Linked DNA regions of Rattus norvegicus. The protein of the gene in region 6 purifies or fractionates together with the protein of the main gene of each other region. This does not show direct contact. Links are inferred from orthologs where the notes say so. Each region holds a gene or a part of one and is shown on either strand. Other genes may lie near its edges.

What was found.
Region 1: the proteins of Cttnbp2nl (region 6) and Strn3 purify together in Homo sapiens (affinity purification with mass spectrometry; 4 studies listed by BioGRID and IntAct, with this or other methods). This does not show direct contact. The link is inferred for Rattus norvegicus from reciprocal best matches to the Homo sapiens genes CTTNBP2NL and STRN3.
Region 2: the proteins of Cttnbp2nl (region 6) and Stk24 purify together in Homo sapiens (affinity purification with mass spectrometry; 3 studies listed by BioGRID and IntAct, with this or other methods). This does not show direct contact. The link is inferred for Rattus norvegicus from reciprocal best matches to the Homo sapiens genes CTTNBP2NL and STK24.
Region 3: the proteins of Cttnbp2nl (region 6) and Ppp2r1a purify together in Homo sapiens (affinity purification with mass spectrometry; 6 studies listed by BioGRID and IntAct, with this or other methods). This does not show direct contact. The link is inferred for Rattus norvegicus from reciprocal best matches to the Homo sapiens genes CTTNBP2NL and PPP2R1A.
Region 4: the proteins of Cttnbp2nl (region 6) and Strn purify together in Homo sapiens (affinity purification with mass spectrometry; 5 studies listed by BioGRID and IntAct, with this or other methods). This does not show direct contact. The link is inferred for Rattus norvegicus from reciprocal best matches to the Homo sapiens genes CTTNBP2NL and STRN.
Region 5: the proteins of Cttnbp2nl (region 6) and Stk26 purify together in Homo sapiens (affinity purification with mass spectrometry; 4 studies listed by BioGRID and IntAct, with this or other methods). This does not show direct contact. The link is inferred for Rattus norvegicus from reciprocal best matches to the Homo sapiens genes CTTNBP2NL and STK26.

The regions. Positions count from the first base shown.
Region 1 is NC_086024.1:74,827,974-74,831,473, reverse strand, and holds part of Strn3 (striatin-3), read left to right. Parts: intron 1-1,044; coding exon 1,045-1,123; intron 1,124-2,743; coding exon 2,744-2,917; intron 2,918-3,500. UniProt on the Homo sapiens protein: Calmodulin-binding scaffolding protein which is the center of the striatin-interacting phosphatase and kinase (STRIPAK) complexes.
Region 2 is NC_086033.1:104,862,977-104,867,088, reverse strand, and holds the start of Stk24 (serine/threonine-protein kinase 24), read left to right. Parts: upstream 1-1,312; coding exon 1,313-1,354; intron 1,355-4,112. UniProt on the Homo sapiens protein: Serine/threonine-protein kinase that acts on both serine and threonine residues and promotes apoptosis in response to stress stimuli and caspase activation.
Region 3 is NC_086019.1:69,212,004-69,215,997, reverse strand, and holds the start of Ppp2r1a (serine/threonine-protein phosphatase 2A 65 kDa regulatory subunit A alpha isoform), read right to left. Parts: upstream 2,801-3,994; 5' UTR 2,800-2,800; coding exon 2,722-2,799; intron 1-2,721. UniProt on the Homo sapiens protein: The PR65 subunit of protein phosphatase 2A serves as a scaffolding molecule to coordinate the assembly of the catalytic subunit and a variable regulatory B subunit.
Region 4 is NC_086024.1:22,157,009-22,160,508, forward strand, and holds part of Strn (striatin), read left to right. Parts: intron 1-613; coding exon 614-750; intron 751-3,030; coding exon 3,031-3,206; intron 3,207-3,500. UniProt on the Homo sapiens protein: Calmodulin-binding scaffolding protein which is the center of the striatin-interacting phosphatase and kinase (STRIPAK) complexes.
Region 5 is NC_086039.1:135,254,386-135,257,439, reverse strand, and holds part of Stk26 (serine/threonine-protein kinase 26), read right to left. Parts: intron 2,991-3,054; coding exon 2,842-2,990; intron 1,849-2,841; coding exon 1,755-1,848; intron 1,147-1,754; coding exon 1,084-1,146; intron 1,003-1,083; coding exon 866-1,002; intron 1-865. UniProt on the Homo sapiens protein: Serine/threonine-protein kinase that acts as a mediator of cell growth. Modulates apoptosis. In association with STK24 negatively regulates Golgi reorientation in polarized cell migration upon RHO activation.
Region 6 is NC_086020.1:195,197,904-195,201,403, reverse strand, and holds part of Cttnbp2nl (CTTNBP2 N-terminal-like protein), read left to right. Parts: intron 1-875; coding exon 876-2,354; 3' UTR 2,355-3,500. UniProt on the Homo sapiens protein: Regulates lamellipodial actin dynamics in a CTTN-dependent manner. Associates with core striatin-interacting phosphatase and kinase (STRIPAK) complex to form CTTNBP2NL-STRIPAK complexes.

The DNA.
Region 1 (3,500 bases), on a different chromosome or scaffold from region 6:
TTTTGTGTGTATAAAAGGTATTTATTTCTAAGCTATAAACTATAAAGGATCAGTGGAGTGAGGAGGCAACTATTCACTTTCGGATGTCTTCCAAAAGTCTGTCTCTGACTCGGGTTCTAAGTGTCTCCTCTAGGCTCTTTAAACAGATAACCTTTGACTGCAGCTAAGTAGAATGAGCTACTTACTTTACACTTACGGACTTGATTAGGACTCCGTTTGGAGATGTTGACAACATACTGGGTTTACGGAAAACTGAGGCCCAACAGATCTGCAGACTGATGTCTGAATGTCCCAAGAATGAGTGGCTGCTTGGCTGGCTGCAAATTAACTGCACTAGGACCTAAGAAAAGGCTCTTTCCACCAGCTGTGTGCCCACCACAGTGATCGGAGTTAGACACTATTCAGCAGCCTGGTTTCCTAGCTGAATCTTTTGTTCTAAAAAATAAAGTATGATAGAGGCTTTAATATCACTGATAAAATTTTCAAAATGAGGGGTTGGGGATTTAGCTCAGTGGTAGAGCGCTTGCCTAGTAAGCGCAAGGCCCTGGATTCGGTCCCCAGCTCCGAAAAAAAGAAAATAAAAAGAAAAAAAATTTTTCTCAAAATGAAGTCTCAGTCAGTCTCTCTCTCTCTCTCTCTCTCTCTCTCTCTCTCTCTCTCTCTCTCACTCTCTCTCACTCTCTCGTGTGTCTGTCTATCTGTCTGTCCATCCTCAGTTTCTGGTTATTTGAAATAGCATAAGTGATGATATTTTTTTTTTTTTAATCTTAAAGGTATTTGACACAGCAGAATTCTATTTTCAAATCCAGACTTTCAGTTTTTTGATCTTGCTAAAACACATCTGAGGTCTTTTGATTTTAAAGCAGGTAGAGTACCCAAGTTATGGCCCAAACATTAAAGAAGAAATGATCTATAGTAAATCTTTAACTTTTTTCCTGTCTTACATAAAATATTTTCATGTGTGAATTTATTTTTGAAAAAATCCCTGAACTCTAATAAGAAGTTGAAATAACGTGTGCAAAACTTGCCCTCTTTAACTTGCAGAGGAAACCAAAGATGCGGAGGCTCCTCCAGCCCAAAACAGCCAGCTGACGTGGAAGCAAGGCAGACAGCTGTTAAGACAGTGAGTAATGATTTCAGCTAAGAAGGAGTTATGAAAGTGCTTACATTGAATCGACTTATACGTAGAAACATTATTTTACTGTATGACTTCATAGTGCTGCTTTTAAAAATACATTTGTATCTATGTGGGCATGGGCACAGGCATGAGCCACAGCTGCTTGTGGAGATGAGAGGGCAGCTTTCAGCATTGACTCTCTTTTCACCTTTGGGACACAGGGATTAGATCCCGGTCATCAGGCTTGGCTATAGGTCACTTTATACACTCAGCTGTTACTGAAGGATGACATTGACTTCTTTCTACTATTTTCTTGCCTCCTCTCCTCTCCTTCTCTTCTCTTGTCCTTGCCTTGCCCCGCTCTCCTCTCCTCTCCTCTCCTCTCCTCTCCTCTCCTCTCCTCTCCTCTCCTCTCCTCTCCTCTCCTATTTCTTATGTGGTAGAAAAACTGAAAAAAAAAAAAACAAAAAAAACCAAAAACTGGATGACGACTTCAACTGAAGTAGTATGGCTTATATGGAGTTGGGCTGCATTTAAAAGCATTGGCTGCTCTTGCAGACATTCCAGTTTTGATTCTTAGCATCTACATTGTGGCTCACAGACATCTGTAACTCCAGTTCCAGGGGATTCGGTGCCCTTATCTGACCTCTATTGGTCATCTTAATCTAGGTACTGTGTGCCCTGTATACTTTCATAAATGTAGGGAAAGTACCTGCAACATAAAAATAGTCATTCATGTAGTACATACACTCTCACTACGAAGTTTACACACATGTGTTTGTATGAGAGGTATAGAGAAGTATTGATATTTGAAACTCTTTAAAGATGGCTTGCCAAATCCTTTTAGTTGAAATTATTTTATTCTGCATATGAGTATCTTTTCATTTCTCCGTGTGTGTGTGTGTGTGTGTGTGTGTGTGTGTGTGTGTATAAATTTATATATCTACTCTTTAAAAGATATTTATGTATGTCTGTATAGAGGCATGTCACATGTGTATGTATCTCAAAAGCTTTTCAACACTGAGGCTCTTTTAGGTATTGAGATAATTGGTTCAATCAATGTCAGTTAGTCATACTATATGCTCCCCCCTCTCCTCCCCTCCCCTTTCTCTCTCTCTCTCTCTCTCTCTCTCTCTCTCTCTCTCTCTTTCTTTCTTTCTTTCTTTCTTTCTTTCTTTCTTTCTTTCTTTCTGCTTTTTCAAGATAGGGATCCTCTGTGTAGCCCTGGTTATCCTGGAACACCTGTAGATTAGGCTGGCCTCCATATCCTGAGTACTGGGATCAGAGGTGTGTGCCACCACACCTGCCTTAATCCATTTTTCAAAAAGATTGTTTTATGTACATGAATTTTGTCTGGATGTATGCATGCTGGGTGTCCACATAAGTCAGAGGAGGGTATAAGCTATCCTGGAATGTGAGTTATGGATGGCTGTAAACCATGTGAATAATATCCCTAGCACCCATATTTCAATTTTGACTTAAAAGTTGACATCATTAGCTGGAATTAGGCTATAATGAAGTTATTGAGACGAAGAATAATTTGTGTGATTGTGAACTTTAATATGATTTGAAGGTGGCAGATGTTGACAGTCTGTTGAGTTTTAGTGTTTAATTTTATCTTGATAGGTATCTTCAGGAAGTAGGATATACAGATACAATATTAGATGTACGATCTCAGCGGGTAAGGTCATTACTTGGACTGTCTAATTCAGAGCCAAATGGATCCATAGAAGCAAAGAATTTAGAACAGATCCTGAATGGTGGTGAATCTCCTAAACAAAAAGGACAAGAAATCAAAAGGTATGATTTGTATTTGTTGATTAACATCGTTTAACTTATGGACATCAAAATCAGTGGTACAACAGAGACTTTTCATAGAGTCTCACTTTTGCTAGCTTTTCTATAGTTGTATTTATTGTTAGATATTAAATGAATCTATGGAAGCCACTTTGTTTATTAGAGAAACTTAAATTATTAGGTTTAGGAAAATAGATTATGGTTATTACCTGTTACCTGAGTAGTTTTGAAATACTTGAAAACATTTTAACAGATTAAAGACATTTTTTTTTTTTTTTTTGCTACATAAAAAATTTATAAAATGGATTGGTACCTCTTGGGTCCCAGAATCCTAACTAGATGTGGGAAGGGAATGAAGAAATGACAGACATTGGACACATACACACAGGGAAACTGGGATGGCTTCCTGGACTCTCTGATGGAGAAGGGCAGCACCCAGGAGGCTTAGTGTGTGTGTTATGGAAAACTGAACAAGGAAGCAGGGGTTCATGTTGTGCAACTGAATCAGGATTAGCTAGTTTTGGTAAGGGACAGTCTCCACAGGGGAGCAGTCTTCAAGACGTTTCTGGGTTTGGGAGTTAGACAG
Region 2 (4,112 bases), on a different chromosome or scaffold from region 6:
AGGACCTTGAGGGAGCCTGTGTTCTTGGAATACAAGGACACCTCAGAAAATAATCTCTTCCTTATCTTCTATTTCTGAACTCCTGGGGACTCACTTTGTATGCTTAACCTTGCACAGCCGAGGGGCAAAATGGGCATTCAGGAATGAGGTCTCAGGGTCCCTATGGCCCGAGGCAGAGCGATTCTGACTCTTAGACCACTTCCTATTTGTCACTAGTACATACAGTACTTCCTGGAGGCGCATGGATTCACTCCATCGGTCCTTGTTTGCTGCAGAAGAAACAGTTTAGAAGGAGGGCAGAGCTGGTGCCCAGAGTGGGCCCGCGGCCTTAGGAGCAGTAAAGCGAGGGGAGGGCTGGGTAAGAGTCCAGACCGTGGTTTCCTTCCATTGTCTTCTCTTCCTCCGTCACCCCTCCGCACCTCACTTTCCCCTTCTTGTGCGCAGCGCAGAGATGGCGGGGGCCCAGCCCTTCCTCCGTCCAGCTAAGTTTCCACACCCGGCGGCCCAGGCGAGGTTGAGTTCAGTATCCAAGGCACTGCACACAAACTGCCCTCTCTACCCTTGGGGTTTCCTCCTTGATCTGGCTGGAAACTTCGTACGGACAGCGAGGACGCTCCGCCCGAGTCTTTTGGAACAGGCCCCAGGCTAGGCCCCTCTGGGGACACCCCGAGTGCAGACTCTGGCCTCTGGAGGGCCGGGGCGGGTAAGAGGGAAGAGTAGGAGTGGGTGGTGCTCTCCGCTCCCCCGGGCTCAGCTCTGCTCCGCGCGCGAGGCCCACCCCGCGGTTCCGAAGGACCCGGCCACGCAGCACCCGGAGAGCGCCCGCTGAGCCCCGAGGACCCCGCCCGCGCGCCCGCAGGGAGGCCCCACTGCGGCCTAGGGCGCCCGGCGGCTCCTCCCCTCCCCCTCCCCCTCCCGGAAGCGCGGGGCGGGGTCCCCGGCCGGGCCGCGGGGGCGGGCGCGGGGGCCGGGCCGGGGCGGGGCGCGGCGGGTTGTGCGCGCCCACTCGGCTCCAGGCGGCCAGCGCTCGCGGGCCCAGGCCGCCCGGCTCGACCCGAGCACCGCGGCGGCGCAGCGGCGGGAGCCTAGGAGAAACAGCCGCAATCAGGAGACATTCCCGCTGTCCCCGCTGCCCGCCCCAGGCTCGGTGTATGGGGCCGCGGCCCGCCAACCTTCGCTGAGACCGTCCCCGGGGTGCGGTGGCCTCGGGCTCCAGAGCCCGCCCCGCCACCCGAGGGCTGCGCGCGGCCCCGGGCCTGCTCGCCGCGCGACTCCGCGCGTCCCGGGCCAGGAAGTGGCGGCGCCGAGAGCCATGGCCCACTCCCCGGTGCAGTCGGGCCTGCCGGGCATGCAGGTAGGCTGGGGCGTCCGGGTCGGGCTGCGGGCCGTGGCGGAAGCGGGCAACTTGGCGGTGTCAACACGCCCCCCCTCCCCCCAACGGCCGGGCCCGTTTCTCCGGGATCTTCGCCGACCGGAGCAGCCGGGATCTCGGGTGTGTGCACGTGGAGGGGCCGTGGGGTCTGCGGCCTCGGGTCGAGGTGGGGTGCAGGAGCTTTGTGCTCCCCAACTCGGACGCTCAGGCCAAGCGCTCATTCGGGGCAGGAGTCTGAACTAGTGTCCTTGGAGGCCCCGTTTGGGTGCCTGGGCCCTGTTTGGGCCTGGCACAGGGACAGCGGGATTCCAGGGTCTTCAGTCCCCAAGAGTCCCTCCCCAGAACCCCCAGACGGGAGACGGGAGCGCGGGACGGGGAGCGCGCCCCGGCTGGTCCCAGCCGGGCGGGCCGCAGGGCGGGGTGCAGGAAGGTGTAACCTCGCGTCCAAGCCTGTAGTTCTGGTGTGGAAAGTGCGAGGTTGCAAACCCGGGAGGCGGAACCCACACCTCTGCGAGTGCCCTGGCGTGCAGAGCCCAGGTTCACCCCTCGGATGCCAGGTCTCCGCTGCTAGACTTTCACTTTGAGACACGATGGCATCCAAAGCAGCTGTGTGCTAGCTTGCTTCTCCCTGCACTCTTTGTATCTTCTTAGTTCGCCAGTGACTTTTTCTTTGGAGGGGAAGGGGGCGGTGAGGGGAGGGAGTTGAATTTCAAGTTTACATGGATGCACGAACATTTTTTTTTTTTTTTTTTTTTTTTTGCTTTTGAGGATGTTTTTCTGTACTTTGAAAAACAATCACTGGTCTGTTCTTGTAAAGTTTGTGAGCGTATAATGCAGACAAAATGATTGCGATTAACACCGCAAGACCAGTCAAAGTTTTGTTTTCCCAAGTGAGTGAACGGAAGAGTTTTGCTTTAAAAAAGCAAAAAAAACAAAAAACAAAAAACAATAAAACCTCAGAATATCCGAGATGATCAGTCTACAGACGCAGCAGGCGCTTTCTCTCGGGCTCCTGGGTTGAGCGGCACGGGCCTTGCCTCTTACTGCTTCTGCTTCTTCTGAAACTATTTTCCATCCCTGTTTTCTTTCTTTCTTTTTTAATTCATACCTCGGGAAGGAAAATGGATTTCTTTGTCCAGGTTTGAACTCTGGAAGAATAGGAATTCAAAGTTACCACTTTAGTGGCCATTAGAGCTTGAGCCCTTTTTATTTTTGAGGAATAATAAAGTTGGAATTGAGTGTCACTGGAAAGGTGCTCTCAAAGTATTCTTGAAGTCTCACCTTGCGAGCCCGGTGTAAAACCTGATGCTGCTGGCCACAAGTTGAAAGTCAGCCGCGGCCTCCTACAACTCTTGCCTTGGTTCGACTTTAGAGACAAAACACCTGGGTCAACCGGGCGACAGTTTCTTACCTGTACAGCAAAAAGGACCTCTTGGCACATTAAAAGCACGTTTTTCCACGTTTTCTTCATTCATGTGTGGGAGGTCAGTACCAGGTGGTTCCTAGCTGGGGGCTGCTCTCTCATTTTGTTTGTTTGTTTTAAAGAATGGGCCAAAATTCTTCACTTTGGGAAAAGAAAAATTCAATAACTTTACCTAAAAAGTGTATTTCCTGTGTGTTCTTGAGAGGAAGCCTTTTTAATTTTGTTTTTCGGTATGGAGATGATAGCCTTTTCTCAGTATTAATTTTTTTTTTTTTTGTCTGTTCTGGTTCTGCCAAGGAGGAATACTGGCTTTTCACAGCCCAACCTGCCCCTCTCTATGTCTTCAAACCACATGATAACATTTTTAGTGCATTACTGGAGACTGTTCCTATCCTTCCCTTCCCTCCAGAAAAGAAAAACCAGTACATTTATTTTCAACTTGGAGTCAGGAGCTGCAGCCTGCCTCCCTAGGAGCTGTTTTGAGGATCACATGAGAGGCTTGCCTGGCCTTGACTCTTGTCTAGGATAAAGCTGGAGAGGAAGAGGTCTTCCCTGTTGCCCCACAAACTCCCTGCAGACTCCTGGCTAGGGTTTAGGAGGAACTGGGTTAAGTGTTTTGGCAAGTGGGGTGTGGTAGGGTCGAGGCAGGAGGATTTCTGTCAGTTCAAGGCCAGCCTGGGTTACCTTAGGGAGTTCTAGGCTAGCCAAGGTTAATCCTGTGACCCAGTCTCAGAAGAACTGGACAAAGTTCGGCAAGGCAGCAGACTCAGACAGCCCGAGGGAAATAAGTCGAATTCAGGAACTCTTTTGTATAAGGACTTTATGGCCTGCTAATCACTTTATATCTGTTGTTGATTGCTGGTCTGATGGAGGAAGAGGTTACTTATACCGTCTTGTAACTTTGTGAATGAGGAAGGGTTTGAATGGACCAAGGTAAAGTAGTGTGTAGAAAGGCATACAGTGATTAAACCCAGGTCTTCACTCTGCCTTTGCCAGTGTTAAACACCATTTTGTTTTAGGTTGTATTTGCTGAAGAAAGAAAGATAAGATGAATGTGTGTGTGTGTGTGTGTGTGTGTGTGTGTGTGTGTGTGTGTGTTTTCCCCCTCACTCAGTAGCTGTGATTGATGGGCAACTCTAGTGATCTTTGGTGAGGAGTTTCGGGCTGTACACCTGACTGTTTTGATGAGATTCGCTGGGGATTTTCTTTTCCTCTTTGGGTTTTGTAGTCTGTTGAGAGAATTAGAAAGTAAGACCTGGCCAGGTGCCTTTAGTCCCAGGAGACAGGGACAGGCAGATCTCAGAATTCGAGGGCCAG
Region 3 (3,994 bases), on a different chromosome or scaffold from region 6:
AGATGGATATGGTACTACGGCTATATTTTGATGACTTGTAAACTAGTTTTTCAACATCCTTGCCTCAATTTTTTTTTTTTTTAACATGCTTGTGCTCCTCTCCTAGCTGCACTGTGGGAAATAATGGGCCAGGGTGACAACTGGTGAGTAGTAAGCAGCAGCCCTAAGGACAGTAGATGGTATCAGGGAGAAACTACCATCCCATTCATAATCTTCATGCCAGTCATAGTAGCATGTATCATCTACAGATTGTTCCCCGTATGCTCGGGTTGGTTATTCCCACAAGGCTCTGAGGTCTTCTAGAAAAACAATATTAACAGGTGAGGATGCTGCTGGAAAACTGTCCATTTGTGGACAGTTCTCTCACTCTAGTTTTGATTTTGTTCACAACGTGCATTGTTTTCTTCAGGAAGATGGCACTCTGAATGTTTGAGTAAAGTGGCAGAAAGCTGCGTAGCCCTATTGCCTATTTCAAGGCTATGCTGTCATGAGGTCACCTTCACCCAGCAAGATCTCTGACAGACTTCTGATCTCTGGAAACACATAATAAAACTTTATGTTGTTTTATATTTACTTTATAGTGACTTGTTACAGAATTCTGACAAAACTGGCCAGCTGACCTAGCTAAACAAGTTCCTTATTGTCTCTGGGTGAACATTTCATCCAACAGCTTCCTTCAACCTTAGCACTAAAAAAAATTTTTTTTTTTAAAAGAGGGACTTTTTTTGTTTCCTATGAAGGATGTCTTATATACTGCAATCATGTTTAACAGCATTCATGACTTCAACCTACTAAAAGCAGTAACAATCTCCAGCTGTGACAACCAAACCATCCCCTAGACATTACTAAACATCCTTGGAGGCAAAAAACTATAACTATAGCCATTGCATACATTCACACACACACACACACACACACACACACACACACACACACACAGAGAGAGAGAGAGACATACCCTCCTTCTGGAATTATCTTCTCCAAATTTTTAAACTTTCCATCCTGAAAGGAGCTTCCCTTGACTGGCTTAATTCCTTACTCATCTGTCTAGTATACACACTCTACCCAGAACCTAATGGCTCCTTCCAAAAGCAGGTACTATTTCAAATTTCTACAAGACTTTCCCATGCTTACTTTAATATTGTACCCTATATTTCTTATTTTCTTCTTAATATTTTCCATAGTCAACATAATACCTATTTATCTGTCACTACTCACTAAAATCCCTTAAGGCAAGTTTTGTCCTTTTGCTCCCAGCTGTCAACATCTAGAGACACTCTGATGTCCAACAAACATTTGCTGATTCACTATTTCAACATTGACAGATCTGGTTTCTTACATGTGGTAATATGCAGATTTAGTTCTGTTTGCCTGTTTCACACCTAGCCTTTGTATAGCAACCAGCCTTTTTCTTTGTTGATACAGTGTCACTATGTAGACTAGGCTAGCCTTGACACTGCTTTTGCCTCCAGAGTGCTGTGATTGCTAGCATGCACCACTATACCAGGTTCTGGTCTCCTTTATGACCCCAACAACATCCCTCATCCTTTGCATGTGTTTACAGAGCACACACACATAAATTCATACAGTATGCTCAAAACCAGATTATTCTCACTTAATAGAAGAGAAATACAGACTGCCTGAATCAATTAGCAAAAAGTGCAAGACCCAGGAGTACAAATCCAGCCTGGCTGATAATGGAACCAGAGTCAGACATAAATACATAAAACTTAGATAGGCCAGGCTCAGGAAATTGACCAAGTGCAGCATGAACAATTCTATATAAAAGGAAAAGTAGAAGGCCGTAGTGCCACAATAGCCACACCCCCAAAATAATAGCTAACATTTATAGAGCCTTTACAAACAGCCAGTTTTATTTTACTACTTTTCCTCAGCCACCCAGGGAAGCCAGGGCTATTATTAGCTGGTATTTGTAGAAAACAGAAGCCAGGGGGGATGAAATAATGTGCACACAAGGTCATCCTCAGGTGAAAGGATGCGGCCTTGAGGTCTGACCTCTTTTTCAAAACCAAAGCAAACTCAGGGGTCCTGGCTCATTTTTTTCCCGTGAACCAGAACTATCAACTCGCTTGGCAGACAGGCCTGGGACAAAGTTGGAGAACAGGTGGGTGTGTACACGTGACCTATCCCAGATAAGGCTAGGTTAAATCTCTGGAGAGCATACTTTCACAGTCTCCTTCCTCCTTCAGGAGAGATACCACAAAATGCAAGGCGGAGGTCCGTGAAGAACGGATAGAAGTCCCAGTTATCAATCCCCACTCGTTCCAGTTAAAATAAACAAAAACACTAAAAGCGATGGTAACTCCACCCAGGTCGCCAGGACCCCTGAGGGCTTCCCCTACTCAGCAGGTCACGCGCCCCCGCCGATTCCCTACAGAGAGCCATTCTGTGTCGGCCGCCAATCACCGACTGGAAGGCGGCAGCAAGACCGCCACCCAATCTCGGGCCGCCCAGGCCCAGATCCGGGGCTGCCGCGCGCACTCAGGTGGGACCCTCGAGGCTTGCCCTCCGCTTGGCTGGGCACCCAATGAAGGCTGCCATCTCATCGAACCTTGCCATCAAGAAAGATGAGACCTGAATTCTGATTGGCCGCCGCTGCTTTCCGCCACTCCCGGAGAACCCTGAGCCATCGCTCCCACATTCCGCGAAGATCCCCGTCCCCGATCTCCCCCACACACTCTAACGGAAGGATCCCCGCACCTGAACGTCCTCATTGCGCAGTTCATCTATGAGCACCGCAATGGGGTAGAGCGAATCGTCGCCGTCGGCAGCTGCCATCTTGACTCCCTGGCGTTTCTATCAGGCAGCAGCGAGCTCCGGGCGGAATCCGGGCTCGGGAGGGGCGGTGCGGGGAAAGGACGCAAAGCGGACGTGGGGGCGCCCGAGCCGCGCTACAGGGGCTGTCCCGCCGCCATTGCCGCACAAGCTCGCGTCTGTTTGGTCTGAACCAACCAAGTCCCGCCTACTTCTCATTCACCATTGGCCGGATGAATCAGATGTTTTTCCGAAGGACGAGCGGAAGCGGAAGTTAAGTATCTTAGTGACCAGAATTGTGCCCGCCTGCGTCGCTGCTGGCAACCACGGGAACAAGCAGGTCTAGCTGCCAATGAGAGTCGAGAATGGGAGGTGGCGATGATGATCTCTTGGGGAGACTCGAAGACTCAAACCCGAGCCTTGGGAACTGTGCGTGACGTAATGAAGAACAGGCTGGTCTGGTTGTGCTTCTGCGGCTGTTATATCGGTCTCTAAAGAAGGAACTCCTAAGTAGGGAGATTTGCCTTGCTCAGTTTCTAGAACGCGGCCCTGGGGCTGGTGGCGTTCAAGGGCTGGTGGTGTTAAAGGCTTTGTTAAAGTCCCCTCTTACCCTGAAGAAATAGAGCAGCCAAGGCGACCTCTTACTTTATCCTGCTGGGGAGTTTCTAGGTAGCTAGTAAGAAATGAGCCAGGTCGAAAGTATTTGAGGATGGACCCCTGCCGCATAATGAGCTTGGACGCCAAACCTCTTATATGGCTAATATAAAAGTATCACAATCCTTTTTCCTTAAGAATGAAAATACGAAAACGTAGCAGGGTTGTTAAAGCGTGACTGCTTTTATTCTTGATTTTTGTTTTCTTCTTTTTCGATCTCCCTTCATCTTCCTCCTTCCCCTTACCTGCATTCCTCCCTTACTTCCTCTTCCTCTCCAATCAGAGAGAAAATTAAGAAGGAAACACCCTCACAGAGAGTGGAAACAAAGAAAAAAACACCCACTGTCACAGAGAGTGGGCATTCGTAATCAGTGATACATATTTGAGTATCATGTATCCCTGGCCCTGAATGGCAAACACATGGTCTTGTGATAAAGAACAAAAGGCTTAACCATGTGTGAAAGTGCACATGCTTTCAATTCTGAAACTCAGGAAGCAAAAACTTGTTCTACATAGTTATACCCAGGCCAGTCAGAGCTATATGGTGTAACCCTCAGAAGAGAGC
Region 4 (3,500 bases), on a different chromosome or scaffold from region 6:
ATATCAAATAGAAAGAAAACTTACTTTAAAAAAATATTTATTTATTTATGACTATAGTGTAGCTGTCTTCAGACGCACCACAAGAGGACATCGGATCCCATTACAGATGATTGTGAGCCACCATGTGGTTGCTGGGAATTGAACTCAGGACCTCTGGAAGAGCAGTTAGTGCTCTTAACCACTCAGCCATCTCTCCATCCTCAAGAGAAAACTTACTTTTAGACTTACTATTTTCTGTATAATGATTAAGGAAAGGACAGTAGATTACTAAATCAGTATCTCTTTTACTTTTCTAGTTAGATGATGCTGTTGACAGGATGATATATGAAAAGGTAGTCTAAGATTTTTTTTTTTGCTCATGGAATTTCACTGTTTACAAAATTTCTTAACAGTAATATAAGAGAGATATAATCTCTGAAGCCTATAATTCCAGCACTTAGGAGGCCAGGGCAAGAGGATTGCCCTTGTTCTGGACCAGCCTAGGCTCAACAAACAAACAAACCCCAAGTAGACCAAGTTGACATGCACACGTTCACTCCGCAGAAGTGTAATGCAGGCAGCGAGACTAGCTCTGAACTGTTTAGCTGTGTAACTTGGACTTTGTCTCCTTCAGTGGAAGCATTGACGTTCCCGCCTTCTTCAGGGAAGTCATTTATCATGGGAGCAGATGAAGCCCTTGAAAGCGAGCTGGGGCTTGGAGAATTAGCAGGCCTTACAGTGGCCAATGAAGCAGACTCATTAGCTTATGATGTAAGTAGCAATTTTGTTTTTACACCATTTAATTTGTTTGAAAATTTAATAGTTGAGTTTATAGAAGAAGATGGCAGAGGTAAAATTTTCACAAGTATGAATCTTTGAATCTCAAACTTTGCAAAGATGGGTATAAAAATAAGCTAACATTTTCTAAATAACCTGGCGATTAAAGTTAGAGACTGCCTTCATCTGCAGTCACTCTAAAATGTGCATTGTTTGAGGCAGGCACCTGTGATGAGCCAATGTCTTTCTTCCTCATGGCCCCTGTCCTGCCCCTTGAGTACCCTGTCTAGTGTGCGCTCCCTGCACTGCCCGTTCACTGCTGCATGCTCACTTCTTGTCTCCTTACCCTCACACAGCCGTCCTCCAGATGACCTAGGCCATAATGGCTACAGGCAGATTTCCCACTGCCTACCTCTGTCTTCCCACCAAACCATGAAGACTTTACCCAGTGGCTAATGGAACTGGACTCCTAATGCAAGCTCACTTTTTTCCTTCTCAGGAAAAATTGATATTGTATCTTTACCCTATTTCCAAAGGTAGTTCTTTGTTTTATTAAATATGCCAGTAATCTGTTGCTAATCTAATCATTTTTAAAAATACAAAATGAACTCTGGCATTTTTGGAGGTTCTTTGTCTCATATATCTTTGTCAGATTTTTTTTTTTTTTGACCTCGTAGGTTCTTTGACTATATATTATGGTTTCCAGCTTTGTGGTATTTCTGTGTGTGATCATGTATGTCTCTTGTGTCCATACATGTTTCTTGTAATTTTTCTTTGGTTCTTTTTCCCTTTTTGTCCCATTTCAGTTGTTTTTGTTCTATGTTGTTATTCTTCAGATGTCTGTTTTCTCATGAGAAACAGAGAGGGAAGGATGGGGATTCAGATAGGAGGGGAAAGTGGGGAGGCCCTGGAAGAAATGGTAAAGGGGAACCGTAGTCAGAATATACTATGAAAAAAATCTCATTAAGAGTTTTAAAAGCATCATCTTCTGATCTCTCTGCACCCAGAGTCTGGGTGTAGACCTGGCTGGGGTCTTATATTGCTTCAGTCAGGATTTTGCCAGTGCCTGGGTTCTCTCTTGAAGACTTGGCTTGGAGAAGACCAGGCTCTGTCCCAGTGTTTGACCACCCTGGCTTCACTTGGCATCTAGTGTCCACACTTGAGTGCGTGTGAAAAGAGGAAATGCAGCAGGTCTGCAGCTCAGTGATGACCCTGGATTCTAAGTCTTCCTCCTCAGCTCTGGGTGCTGGAGTTGCAGGTGTGTGACGCCATTCTCAGCCACTGTTACATTTTCCATGTCCAGTTTATAAATCTTGTTTCCGTCTTGGTGAAGAAAGTATTAAGTCTCAAAAACTGTGACCATCGTTGGATTAACGAGCTGTTTTAGTTTGGGGCTGCATTGCTGAGATGGAATATACAACCTGAAGGGGCTTGGGCGACCTACAGTCGCACATCGCAGCCCATCGTTGGCTGTGGACGAACACTGGCCTGCTCACCTGCTTTCTTTAAGCACACGGCACCACCAGCCTGGAATGGCACTGCCCACAGTGAGCTGGGCTCTCTCACATCAGTCATCGATCAAGAAAATGCCTGACACTTGCCCACAGGCCAGGCTGGTGGGAGCGTTTCTTTACTGAGGTTTCCTCTTCCAAAACGACTCTAGTCATTGACATAGTTGACATAAAACTAGCTAGGACACAGGCATAAAGAGAAAAATCCTACCCCAGTTACTTTCTCTCTTACAGTTTGAATTGAGTTAGTTCTAATTATTCAGTCTCTCGGGCACTGTGACATAATAATTTTCAGTAAGTGCATGTTATTTGAGTCTCAGTCCATGTCTGTTTGGAAGTGTGGTGAGACTGTCAGAAGAAGCTACTTGCTTTATGGTGTTAGGGGAGCAGAGGAGGAGGTGGAGGGTTCTGCTGTCTCCTACTGTCTTGTCTAGGCTCCATCTGCTAAAGCCTCTCCGCTCCAGGAAGGCCACAGGCTGCTGACCAAGCCTTCAGCATCTGGGCGCTGGAGGACGTTCAGGATCCAGGCTAGCAACAGTAGGAACTGTTGGGGATTATTATTTACTGCATTTTAGACTGAATTATGTTAACTGTCTTTGATCGTTTTGTATTTCTCCCATGAAAACTGCTGCCACACGTTGCTAGTTTTGCTAATTGGCTTGGCTGTTTTCTTTAAAAGTATATTTATTATTTTGAGGATTGCACCATGTAGTAGTATAATAGCAAATCAGCGATCTCAGCCTGATCTTTTGTTTCTTAATAGATAGCGAATAACAAAGACGCCTTGAGGAAGACGTGGAACCCTAAGTTTACATTAAGGAGTCACTTTGATGGCATCCGAGCCCTTGCTTTCCACCCCATCGAGCCTGTGTTAATAACCGCGTCAGAGGACCACACGCTGAAAATGTGGAATCTGCAGAAAACAGCCCCAGCTAAAAAGTGAGAACATTCTACCTGCACTTGTTTTTCTAAGATTTTAGTTAAATTGTTTATCAACAGGAAAAGATACATTTTAAAAATAATTGTTACTTTTCCCAAATATAGGTAAATCCCTCAGACAGTCTAATGTTAGGTCTGACATTTAGGAAAGGGGTTGTTTTTACCTGATGTTTCCCAAGGGTTTGGAACTGCTGATTGCAGTCCTTACGCATAAGTGCTTCTCGTGGCTGTCTTATTGGTGCGGCCTCTTGTCTGTAATGAAGATCACAGTTACATAAAGAGATATAAGTAGGA
Region 5 (3,054 bases), on a different chromosome or scaffold from region 6:
TCAAATTTCCTTTAACCTATTATTATAGATGTTTGTACTATTCTATAATAAGGGACCTGTATTAATCCAGAAAGTTACAGATAATGAAGCCTACTGTCTCATATTCTTTAATAATCACTCCTCGGATGTGCATGGTACTTCCTGAAGAAATATAACAACTAATAAACAATCAGCTTATATAAATCTAAAAAAAAGGAGTGGAAACCTGTAATGTTACATGTACTCGAATAAGAACGTAGTCAGTGACATTTTCTGTCTTTTCATCCTAACATGGAAAGATAGGGCAAAACCTGGGCTGTCTGGTTCAGTAGAAATGTACCTTCCCATAGCTCAATAAAATCATTCCAAAAGCTAACACTGGGTTGGGCAGATGGCTCAGTGGGAAAATCCTTGAAGTACAAGCACAAGGGTCTGAATTCAGATCTCGAGCACCAGTGTTCTGGTCAGGTGTGACTGAGTCCACAGAACTTCAGCACTGGAGGGCAGAGAAGAATGTTCTCGGAATCATTAAACAGGGCAGGCTTCAGGTTCAATGAGAGGCCTTGCCTCAAAATATAAGGTGGGAGGAAGTAGAGGAACAATTCCAAGGTTGACATCCTTTCAACCCAGGCCCATGTGGGAGATAACTCACCCATGTAAATAACTAACTCTCTCTTTGTCTGTGTCTCTCTGTCTCTCTGTCCCGCCCCCCTCAAAGCAGATGTTTACGTTTGGCAAGAAACAATTCTGTTTTCAAGCATACAACTATTAAAACATGATCTTGCAGGAAAAACGTAGGAAATGGCTACATAAAAGTGACTTTATTACATCAGAAACTCACATCTAAAATGCCAACAGAAGTTTGAAAATGACCCTTCAAACTTACTTTTGAAATTTTTCGATTAGTTTCTTCACCATTTTATCTGTGATGCCAGGACAGGCAGCTTCGGCCACAGCAATACTTTTCTCAAGTTCTTCAATTGCCTGGTTTCGGCTTGCATTGTTCTCATCCTGCTGTTTAAGCTGAAAGAGAGTGATGGCTCTAACATTGAAAATACCCTGCCACCTGAGAGAGATAGTGGATACTAAATAACCCACACTTACTTCAGCAAATGCAGGTGTGATTATCATAGACAAACAGCTCAGGGTTTGCACAAGATCTTGCTCCTTTGAAGAAAGAATACAGATTATACATACGAAATTAAAATAATCCTTCATGGCTTCCCTGAGTTACGTGATAACAAATGTGAATCAATTTGAATTCCTCCTTCAAAAGACAGAAGATAAAGCCGGTCCCTATGTTTTCTTTCTGTCACAAACTGTCATCCATCAGGGTAAGTCCCCAAACGTCTAGGATTGCAACAGATAACTGATTCCGTGGGTTCACATATCTCTACATGGAATGAATTTTAAGTAACAGTGGCCATTTCGATGACTTCTGTGACTTAATTAGGTCACAATTAATAATAAATAAAACTGATTATATATAGCGAGGAAGACAGGTATGCAGGGGAATGAAATTGTAGCAGTTTTGCACGTTACTATACCATAACACTATTTTTAAAAGTCTATCAGGAGGTCATGATCAGATGAGAACATAATATAATGACCTGTTTATGAAGATTATATGATGAAGATTATTACTTTGCACACTAAATAAATAAGTGAATAAATGAATAGATAGATAAGTGAGTGAGTAGATAGATAGATAGATAGATAGATAGATAGATAGATAGATAGATAGATAGATAGATAGATTAGCTCCATACACATACTTCCCCATTCTGCAGTTTCTTTGGATCAGGCTTCTTACGCACAGTGGTGAAACTCCATTCAGGGTGGGTATTACTTTCCCTGCTGCTGGATTCCCTAAAGAAATGCCAAGGATGCATAAGTGATTCAGCACAGGAAAAACAAAAGAACAAAAACTAAGAAAAAAACCCCAAAACCCAAAACCAAACCACCGAATCAGTGAAAGAAGACTCGGAAGAGCTCTCTAACAGAACATGTCACCTCAGTTTCGGGTGGTTCCACTATTTCACGCAACAACAGCAGTATTTTCTCAGCTCTTCATGTTCACCCAAACCCTCTGTGGAGAGCCATCTGTGTCCATACTGCCATTTCCCCATGCCTGAACCACGATCTCTAGTGGCATGCTTTGTGTTTTTAAAGTTTCACCGAGAAGTTATGGTTAACAAGCCTTAGATTGGGCACAAACTATCAAGATGTTTTATTCATTTCAAATATTAGGCAGTTTCTCATAGATGCAGGTGCCTGAGAACACTGTGTGGAGAACTGGAGTGCTGCCTTGTGGAACTCCTGAAATCCTGGTGCAGCCCTTGCACTCTCCTACTCAAATTAAGATAAACGCACAGAAGCAGAACTATTAACATAAAAACTTTTCCATGGGGTAAAAACCATACATAAGCAAATAGGTGTAGCAGTTCACAGTTCAGGCTGATCACAGTTTGGTCCATGGCCAGAAAGTAGGAGAGGCCATTAGATCAGTTCTCGAAAGGGTCGCACAGGTTGTCATCACAATATGAGAAAACATAGTTCCTTATTGCTTCTTGTGAACTAGAACTCCTACAGTCAAATCATATTCCAAAATTTTGTAATATACTCAAGTATCCACTAGGGGTTAGACCAAGACCATTTAAAAGCAGAGCTTTCCCCTTTAAAGCATGTTTCCAAATTCATTGTAGTCCACAGACTGTAAAGAACTTCCCATTGGCCAAAGTGACTGCTTGAAATATGAGTAATCACTTAGTCTAAAGTAAGCATCCCAGGTCACTGTGAAAAGGCAAAGAGTATGCAGACGGACCTGCCTTTAAGAAAAAACCTGTGGTAATTTATACATACGAGTCAGAGCCCTCAGAATCGGATTCCTCATCACTGTGGCCTTCTGCCTTCCATCTCTTAAATCGATCAATCAACTCAGTCAGATAAGAAGTCTTCTTTGAATTTTTTACGATGAACTTATGCTTCAAAAGTTCTTTAGCCGTAGGACGCTAAGGCGCAAACACAGAAAAAAATGAAGGACATATGACTATGTTAAGGAACTTCGGGATTAAG
Region 6 (3,500 bases):
AAATAAGTCGGAGTTACCAATAGGAAAGTAGACTCTAAAAGCACAGAGGGTAGATGTCTGTCCAGCTCTGGTGTTGACTAAGGCTTATCGTAAATACAAAGGGTGTGTGTGTTTTATCCAGAAACTGAATGATAAAGGTGGGGTAGAAACCCCAGATTGGGATTAAATCATTTCCTCAACACAAAGATCACAGGACATGAACCAACTGTTTGTTTATTCTTGTACTATGTGGTGGTGATGGTACTGAACTGGTTTCCCCAGCTATGAGTATGTCTTGAATTGGGAATTCCTGATTAGAAGGGTTCGATCACCCTGTTCCCTCTCATCCAGAGTCTGTATGATAATGTTAGACAGTAAAACAGATCCAAGGATGGTGGTTCTGCCAGATGGAAGGAGGATTTCAATTTGAAAGTGAGTCTTAGACAACAGAAGCAGCAGTTTCATTGCAGCTGTCTGTATTTCTTACTTTCTTTTTAAGGTCAGACAAAATGATTGCTGCAACTTTAAGTTTGATTTCCAACAGCGTCCATGCCCAGATCCAGCTTACATGGTATTCTGTTATTTGTTTTGGCTGAGTCTATGGCCTCTCCGCATACCTAAAACACAACGGTGCGTCATATTCCCGCTGTGCACCCTGAGGCAGTTAGGAACTCAAATGCCTCCCAAGTCATCAAGAAAAGATTAAATCATAGTGTGTGGGGGTTCTGTGTGGGCTGTTCTCATACTTCAAAAATACTAATTAACCTAAGCACCATGGCGTACAAACTAATACCGGAGAGCAGCCAGTGAGCGCGCTCTGCGCCATCGTAATTTTCAGTGCATCCTGTTGTTTTCCTACTCTAATCAAGATGTGTGATGGCATTTTTTTTTCCTAGTTGGAATTTGAAAAGTCCCAAGTGAAGAAGTTTGAAAAAGAACAGAAGAAGCTATCTAGTCAGCTGGAGGAGGAGCGTTCCCGCCACAAGCAGCTGTCTTCCATGCTGGTGCTTGAGTGCAAGAAGGCCACCAGCAAGGCAGCCGAGGAGGGGCAGAAGGCTGGAGAGCTGAGTCTGAAGCTGGAGAAGGAGAAGAGCCGGGCGAGTAAACTAGAGGAAGAGTTGGCAGCCGAGCGGAAGCGGGGCCTGCAGACAGAGGCCCAGGTGGAGAAGCAGTTGTCTGAGTTTGATATCGAACGGGAGCAGCTGAGAGCCAAACTGAACCGAGAGGAGAACCGGACCCGAGCCCTGAAGGAAGAGATGGAGAGCTTGAAGAAGCTTGTGAAAGACCTAGAGGCAGCCCAGCAGCACAGCAACAGCAGTGAGCAGGGCCGGGAGCCAGTGACCACATCCAGAGGCACAGCCACAGAGCCTCCCATGCGAGTGTCTGTGTTTTGCCAAACAGAGAGCATTCAGACAGAAAGAAGCCACAGCAGCATCATGACCAAGCTGACAGACACTGGGCTTCCAGGTCCCAGCAGTGCTCCTTACCCATATGCAAAAGCTAATGGCCACTGTGACCCCGAGACACAGACTACCAGGGAGCTGACCTCAGACAGCAGCACAGAAAACCAAGGGCCTCCACGGGAGAAATCGGCAGTACCGGCCCAGGAGAAACCGATGGAGAATGGTGGGTGTCCTGTAGGAACTGAGATTCCAGTCACAATGCCCAGTCATCTCCCTTCCAGTGGCAGCTCACTGTCTCCCAGCAGCACTGCCTCGTCCTCTCTGACATCATCTCCTTGCTCTTCACCAGTTCTAACCAAGCGTCTCTTGGGGTCATCAGTCAGCAGCCCAGGCTACCAGTCTTCCTACCAAGTAGGGGTCAACCAGCGTTTCCATGCAGCTCGGCACAGATTTCAGTCCCAGGCAGATCAGGATCAGCAAGCCAGTGGTCTCCAGAGCCCTCCATCCAGGGACCTGTCCCCTACCCTATTAGACAACTCTGCTGCCAAGCAGCTGGCCCGAAACACTGTCACTCAGGTGCTCTCCAGGTTCACTAACCAAGGGCCAATTAAGCCAGTCTCTCCCAACAGTTCTCCTTTTGGGACAGACTACCGAAATCTGGTCAGCACTGCCAATCCTAGAGGCGACACCAGCCATTCACCTACTCCAGGGAAGGTGTCCAGCCCTCTGAGCCCCCTTTCTCCGGGAATCAAGTCCCCAACCATCCCCAGAGCTGAGAGAGGAAACCCTCCACCAATCCCACCCAAAAAACCTGGCCTCACTCCTTCACAGTCTGTCGCCACTCCAGGGACCAAGACTCATTCCCAGGCATCCTCCTTGACCACCACAGAAGACCTTGCCAGCAGCTGCTCTCCCAGTGCCGTGGTGGCCAATGGCAAAGATGTTGAGATGCTTGTGCCCACCAGCAGCTAGTCCCCAGGAGTGAGTCTCGACACTTGACATTCCACCAGACTCGTCCAAGGCCGCAGAGTGAAGCCCTGGAGTCAGATCTGTTATTTATTTGATAGTAGCTACGGCCGTATGTGTAGTACATTCAGTGTATTTACTTTTTGTACTTTTTTAAGTAGAAACTGAGTACTTTGGGTTTCACCTCTTTGTACTAAGCTAGAGGGGGACTCAGACACCGTGCATCTCAAGTCAACAGTCACCAGCATGCTGCGATGGGAAAGCTGACTGAGGCAGGCTGTGCTCTGCTGTCAGTTTGGGAGCTAGAACTACTCAGCACTCATTTCAAAGTATGCAGAAGTGGTTTGTGCAGATTTTTATTCCAGATGAACATGTTTTAAAAGTGCCTGAAATCCACTGCCACATGAATGTGATTCTTCGGCAGAAACAAAAGACATAGCATTTCTTGCAGAAAATAAGATCCTCTGTGAATATGAATGTCAAAAACCAACACTGCTTTTAATCCTCTCTGACTGTTTAATGCCAGCTTTGTGTTCTGAAACGAGGTTTGCATAAGTACAGTGGAATCCTTCTGAAGGGCGTGAACTCCGTCAGGCTGAGCTCTGTAAAGCCCTTGAGAAACCCTCCAGAGCACTTAGCAGTTGGGGTGCTGATTTTCTCATGAAAAATCAAGTCATTCTCAGTTTCCTGCATCAGGTTTTGAACAGTGAAATCACATCTCCATTCAAAACCATCCTCAAGCATCGCCACGGGACCTTCTGGTTCTGTTGCTTTTACTTGACTAGGAAGTGACACGATGAACTCTTCATTCTGTGATCAGAAAGCAATAACTTAAAAGTCACTCTTTGTAATATTGTAAGTCAGAATTATAGAGTTTACCAAATTGTTACATTTATTCTCATGCTGCCAGCACTTCTATCTATGGAACCAAATTAACTTTTGCCCAAATGGAAGTGTACCTGTATGTGTATGATACATGCCCCTTACATGTTCACCATTCTCACACTTAAGCACATAACTGTTAGTGTGATTGTAGCTTTGGAGTTTGCAGTACAAGTAGAATCAGAATTGCATGTTAAGATTACCTACCAAAGCAGTTAGAGCCAGCCAGTCAACAGGAATCCATTAGACAGGGAAGTTTTCAATCCCAAA